2 linked regions of the Coturnix japonica genome follow. The protein of the gene in region 1 interacts with the protein of each later gene in a pairwise test. Links are inferred from orthologs where the notes say so. Each region holds a gene or a part of one and is shown in the gene's direction. Other genes may lie near its edges.

The links.
Region 2: the proteins of ANXA11 (region 1) and PDCD6 interact in binary tests that used the Homo sapiens proteins (3 or more experiments, as listed by UniProt). The link is inferred for Coturnix japonica from reciprocal best matches to the Homo sapiens genes ANXA11 and PDCD6.

The regions. Positions count from the first base shown.
Region 1 is NC_029521.1:4,212,881-4,216,036, reverse strand, and holds part of ANXA11 (annexin A11), read left to right. Parts: intron 1-180; coding exon 181-276; intron 277-2,639; coding exon 2,640-2,698; intron 2,699-3,156. UniProt on the Homo sapiens protein: Binds specifically to calcyclin in a calcium-dependent manner. Required for midbody formation and completion of the terminal phase of cytokinesis.
Region 2 is NC_029517.1:80,103,240-80,106,991, forward strand, and holds the start of PDCD6 (programmed cell death protein 6), read left to right. Parts: upstream 1-864; 5' UTR 865-933; coding exon 934-995; intron 996-2,231; coding exon 2,232-2,293; intron 2,294-3,752. UniProt on the Homo sapiens protein: Calcium sensor that plays a key role in processes such as endoplasmic reticulum (ER)-Golgi vesicular transport, endosomal biogenesis or membrane repair.

The DNA.
Region 1 (3,156 bases):
GAGCATGGTGATACTTAAATGGAGCAGAATGGTTCAAATCATCTTTAAAATTTCAGGACTTCTGTGAATCTGCTGCATTACCAAGTTGAGAAGTGCTTTCAAAATAAAGCAATACACATCATGCACCACTGCCATTTCTTTGTGAGACTGACTCCTGAATCCTTTCTTTCCTGTTGACAGTTTTCAGTGAGTACCAGAGGATGTGTAACCGGGATATAGAGAAAAGCATCTGTCGTGAAATGTCTGGAGACCTGGAGAAAGGCATGCTGGCAGTAGGTACGTGCCATATGTGTAAAGCAGGCCTCTTAATTCACCTCAAAATGGCTGATGAGGCTTTAGCTTCAGGCAAGCTGCTTGATTTAAATCTTGCATGCTAAACTTTGAATGCTAAAATGGGGAGAGAGAATTATTAACTTGGCTTGGATTTAAGAAGTGATTATATGTTCTACCCACCACTGTGAGAGTGAGAATAGGATACTTGGGACAGCTTTGGAAATAAAGCGAAAGGCATTGAAATTGTAAACCTCTAACTAGTTTTTATTAGAGGGAGAACTTAAATTTGATTCCAGAGAGGTTATTTTTTTCCCCCTATTTCCTTCAAATCTTAGTTCAGAAGTGTTTCTGGTACTTGGGAAGGGCCAAGTTCTACCTCAGATTTACCCTTGATACTTTTTAAGATAGCGGTCACTGGTTTCCACTAAGAGCTATGAGAGGCCCTTGAGTCCTTGTGCAGTGGTTCTGTTTAGGGTGGTTTATTCTAAACAGAGTCACATGGCTCTTTCTCTTTAGTTTTGTCTTCGTCTCTTAGGTGAAGTTACTTCTTTACATTTCCATTTCTATTTCCATGTACTGTTTTGAACTTACTGTGGTATCTAGCTGTGCTTCTCAAAGTGTTCTTTTTTGATGTTTTATATTATGGTAGTGTCAGGGAAAGGGATGTACCTAGGAGAAAATGAGAAACAAATGAACTACAGCAACAAAACACAGCTTCTTCAGTTCCTGTTGAAATCAATAGGAATGTTTATCACTGGGGGAGTAAGATAGGAGAAAACATTTGGCTCAACTGCAGTGAAGCTGTGCATTTTTTTCTCATGGAAGTTTCTAACGTAATATTGCAAAATAAAGATGATTTTGTGGGACTTCACTCCTTCACTTGTCTTATGCATGTCTGAACTATATAGCCATTATGCAGTCAATAGTCTACTTGATAAAGTTGCCCCTTTTCTAATGGTGAGGGTGTTTTCTATGACCCAGGCTGAGCCTAGCTCTGTTGTTGTAGTACATTAGCAGACCCTTTTCCAGCATTCTGAATCTTTCACCTCAACAAGTATTCATGTTAGCAAGCCAAACTTGAAGTATAGTTTGTTTGCAGAACACTAGCTCAGTAAAGAAACTTAACTATAGGAGTTTATAAGTTGTTTGGCCTCATGGAGCTTTGCAGTCACATGGCAGATCTTTATGTGGATGAAAACTGAGCATTGGGACTGTAACTTTCAAATAAATCAGTAACCTTTAGAGGATAAACTTGCATTAATATCCACTGAATGAACTTCAGTTTTGTTTAGTGATGTGTGTATGTGTGTGTATATATAGATGTATATATACATGTGTATGTGTATCTAGCATCATTTGTTCTTTTAACCTTGTTTTCCACAAAAAAAAATCAAGGTTTTTCTAATTGAAAATGTTCAATTTTGCTTTTCTTAAAGCTTTCTGGATTGTAAACTGGTAATTTACCCTGACATCTTCAAACATCTTAGTGTGTGATTGTGTTGTTTTAATGACAATCAAGAAACGTGCATTTCATCTGTCATTTGTTCCTGAGATGTTGTACATATCTAACAACTGCGTGTTTTAAACTGTTCTCTCTCATCTACATTTTGCTGTTCAGAAAATACTTTTTTCCTATATAGAATGTATTTTGCTGTGAAATGTATATTTAGGTTTATCCCTTTGGTTCTGTCTTGCTCTGATACTTTTTGTGCTGTCATATACAAGCTGGTTATGGTTTGCTGTCCATGCAATACGCCACAGATTGCATGGCTGTTAACCCAACATAGGATCAGTTTAGAGACTGTAGTTTTAATGAGTGATGAACAGATAAATATCAAAGTCATTTGATTTGGCTCTTCTTCTCTAAGAGTTCTAATGAACTCTGCTAATGAAACATGAAAATTGGTCATTGTTAATAAGCATATCAAGGATTTTTCAAGAATCCATGTGAAATTCGTGGCTAAAGAAATGCATAACTGGCTTTGAATAAATGGTGCAGTTCCTGTTATAGATGTGTTCCTATCTTAGAGCAACTCATCCCAACTTAGAGTGTGTCTTGAATTTGCCATGCCTTCTAGATGCATGGCCTAGGATTTCTCAAATTTAGGAAGAACTAATGACACTTAATTCTGTTCTTCGAGCCTCCTATTGCCTCTCCATACCCTACTTCCTTTTCAGAAGCAACAGTCTTGTTGTTAGAGGTAAAAGGTACAAAATTGTTTCACTGACTAACTGAAGGGATGGAAACTGCATCATACCATCTCTATGTTTAGGTAATTAAAGCATGGGACTGAGCTTGAAAAACAGTCATGAGATTATGTTTGGGTAGGAGTGTGTGACTTCAGTAATACTGTTTCTTCTTGCAGTTAAATGCCTCAAGAACACACCAGCATTCTTTGCAGAGAGGCTGAGGAATGCTATGAAGGTAGGTGCCTGTGGCAAGATGCATAAATTCAGCATGTGTTTGTAAATGACTGTACTGTTCATTGAAATGAATACTTCAGCCACCCTGGAAAGAATTAATGATACTAATTAAAAGATAACTAATGAGCTGGAGGTATTTTTTCAGTGAACAGAAGACATGTAAGATTTTGTATTATGGAAGGCTAGAAAAATCTATCTCATTTGATCTGCTTGGCAAAATGTATATAACCATACCACAAATTTCTTGTTTTATTATGAGGATTTCTTCCCTCAGTGAAACAACTGATCTGCTTAAGACTTGTTCATAACTTTAAGTAAGGAGGGCTAACTGAAATAAGTGTACTACCAGTACATTTAATGTATTAGTGCATAGGCTAAATTGCTACTAAGCTTATTGAAGGCAGTGGGGTTTTGCTAGCAAAGTGTGGTCATCTCTTTAGATTAATGCTGTATCATCCA
Region 2 (3,752 bases), on another chromosome or scaffold:
GAGTCATCGTCCCATGGCACAGCATTGGGTGTACATTAATGTCCCCATTCCACTCCCACGTTAAACTTGGTGTATGTAATTACTTGGGTGTAAAATAGTTTATGGCAAAAACCTTAATTATGGAGCCAGCTTCCTGGCCACGGGACTGTAGAGGGAATAAATAAATAGCTAAAAACAGCATGAGGTACAATATGTCTTTGTGGATTCACTAAAAAGAGCACACGAATCATCACTTGTTCAATAAAATGCTGGACCATGGCCATGTTCTGCTGTGTGTGCTGTGTTTTGGCTGAGGGGGGGGATGAACTTTTACATAGTGAAAGGTCTGGAGCACAGGCCTTATGAGGGGCGGCTGAGGGAGCTGGGATTGTTCAGCCTGGAGAAGAGGAGGCTCAGGGGAGACATTATTGCTCTCTATAACTTCCTGAAGGGAGGTTGTGATGAGGAGGGGCTTGGCCTCTTCTGCCAGGCAACAAACAGGACCCGAGTAAATGGCCGCAAGTTGTACCAGATGAGGTTTAGATTGGATATAAGAAGGAGCTTTATCTCTCAGACAGTGGTCAGACACTGGAATGGCTGCATAGGGAGGTGGTGGAGTCACCATCCCTGTCAGTGTTCGAGAGGCATCTGGATGAGGAGCTACGAGATATGGTTTAGTGCTTTGCTGTAGGTATGGTAATGGGAGGGCGGCTGGACTAGGTGATCCTGTAGGTCCTTTCCAACCTTATGACTCTATGTAAAAGCTGATTTTACATAGACAGTCCAGGGAAGCCGCGGGTTCCAGGCCGGGCCCGCACGGCCTTAGGAAGCACCGGCTTCTTGTCGCCATGGTGCTTCCCCGCTTGGCGCTGCCTGCTGACATCACCCCCGCCCCGCTCGCCCCGCCCCAGGAAGCGGAAGGAGAGTCGCGCTGTCGGAGCTGGGGCGGCCGTGATGGCGGCGCCTCACGGGATGGGGCTGCCCGACCCCTCCTTCCTGTGGAACGTCTTCCAGAGGTGAGGCCGCGGGGGCTCGGGGCTGCCCGCACAGCTGGCACGGGGAGCGATCGGGCCTTGGGAGGAGGCTGGATGCCTCTAATGGGCCCCGGGCATCGGCCGAGCTCTGCGGCTGTGTCCCCGCAGCGGGAATCTAAGGGAGAGCTGCAAGGAGCGCTTGGGGAGGCGGGGTAGGGCAAGGAGGTGACCTGAAGGCGTCTGCCAAATGGGAATCGGGGAGGTGCCCCATCCCTGGAGGTGCTCAAGGCCAGGTTGGATGGGGCCCTGGGCAGCTGAGCTGCTGGGGACAGCCCTGCACATGGCACAGGGTGGGGATGGGTGGGCTCTGAGGGCCCTTCCAACACAAACCGTGCGAGGTTTGGATCAGCAATGAGTAACAGTAACTGCCTGGCAGAACACAGCAGTGACTCAGAGAGGTGACATTTGTCCACCACCCTTGTGTAAAAGCACTTTATCTGGGAACTTGACGGAAGTATGTGTGGGGATTGCTTATTGATATGGATAAGGCTGCTACAGTTGGTGTAGTTCAGATAGTTTCCAAAGAAGCTTTCAGCCATAAGCATCGAGGAGCTTTAGAGAAATCTGGCAGGCACAGAATGAAAGTCCTTCAGCGGGTAAATAACTGGCTGAAAGGGAAATTCTGTCACACTGATTGATGCAGCAGTTCTGGGATCTTCATTCAATATGTTCAAGAGCATCTGTGGGAACAGAGGGTGAATGATCAGCTGAAGCACGAGCTTCAGCTTCTGGTTACATGGACTTAATGTTTGGACTTTTATAAGGCATCTGTTCCTTTTTCTACTAACAAAGCACAAACGTGCACTCCAGGTGTCATGGCGGATTCCTGCAGTGTGAAGGCTTGGCAGGAGCACCTTGCTGTACTGAGTGACCGGGCTGTGTCACCTTCACGGTTGGATCCTGATTGCTGTATCACGGGTAGATGAATTCCAGAGTAGATACCCGATGGCTGTGAGGAGGATTCATGTCGTTTTGTATATCAAATGAATGTGCTCCGTGCTGACTGATGGTCAGGAGCAAGATAAGCAGGTTGTAATTCTGCTAGGATTACATGGCAGGGTTTGGTAGCGGGGCCTGGGGTGGCTCTGTGAGCAAAGCCCTGTGCTGCCCCACGCCCGTGACTGATTTATTTGGTAGGGACGGAAATGCTGAGGGTTGTAGCTAAATTCTGTTCACTTCAGCACCTCAAGGCACGCCACTTCTTCTCCCCTCCTCCAGGGTTGATAAAGACAGGAGTGGAGTGATCTCAGACACGGAGCTTCAGCAGGCACTGTCCAATGGTGAGTCTGTGAAGGGGGAAGGAGGCCCCTTGTGAACTTCGTGCTACATTCCATGCCAGTCTGGCTACTCGACTCTTCTGGTCTTGACGTTTTACTCCTTGCCCACCTCTGCTGCACCTTCCCTTTTGAACCAGAGCAAAGGTCAGATGTTTACAGCCAGCCTTTTTCCTGCATGTAAGAGCCCTTCATTCAGTACAGTGCAGGAAGTGAAGGTGCTAATTTCTTATTTGTAAATGAGGCAATTTGTTCTCCACTTTCTTTTCCTAACCAAGTAGAAAGCTGTACTTCAGACCTCGCTTGACTCGTAACTGGGGCGTGGTCAAATAGCTCTGGGTAGCCAAATGAAAACTGAACGCTTCTTTCCAGTCGTCACATTTTCCTTCCTGCTGGTCATTCGGGATGGTGGAGTTGTTTTTTTTTTCTAGAATACATCCTCTGTGGGTGGTTGTGTGTCACAGTCCAATGTGGGCCAAAAGAACGTAACGTGTTTCTTTCGAGAACACTAAGCAAGTATTCACTGCTCTCACTGTATATTGAAGCTCAATGCGTTCTTGAAGATCAGCTTTTCAACGTGCCAAATTTATGGCTGTAGTAGTACATGTATCTGGGAAGGATGGGAGACCACACAACAGAGTTGTTTGCACAGTAAAATACTGTGCTGCCTTCTTGCCTTTTGTTTCTTTTTTCTCTCCTGTGCTGACATGCTGAGGTATTTGTTGTGTCAGGGGAGGAGGAGGTAGGCTGCTGCTGGCTACCTGCAAGCTGAAATCAGTACAGTTCTTCAGCACCAGAGTTGCTGTGGTTTCTCTGTATGGAATCTGTATTAGTCTGTTGTCATGTCTTTCTTTGACATGAAATAATATAACTCTGCTCTTTAGAACTCTGGAGTGATTCCAACCCAGTAAAAACTGGCCCAAAGTGAGGAGCCTTTCCACATTCAGTAGCAGCTGCTGACAGAAGCCCAAAGCTCCTCTACACACGGCTGTGCTCAGGCCTGCCCAAGCACTAACATTTCTTGGCCTGAAAACACACTCATTTAAACAATGCTTTCAATTCAGCATGGGGAGGGGATTTATACAAAACTCAGCTTGAAATCGCATTGTGTGCCTCTTGTGATGTTAAGAACCTGTTCTTTTCAGTGTCCTGGAGTAACCCATCTGTAGAATAGGGAGCAGTCAGATTTTTAGTTTTATTAATGAGAAATGGGCAAAAGACTCCTGACAACCATTCTTGGTTCTTCTAAGGCTTTGGTTCTCGGCTGGATTTTAGTTTATGTTTTGGGGTGTTTTTTTATGCAGACTGAAAAATGTTGGGTTTCTGTGCAACATTATTAGAGCATTGGTCAGAAGTCATCAAGACCACAGTTACTTCAAAGCAGCTTTGTTAAATGAGGAGTAGCTTGCTTAGCTCTGAATTCACTGTTTCTAGTTCTTATGGCTCTTTGCTTGCTGTTCAGTTG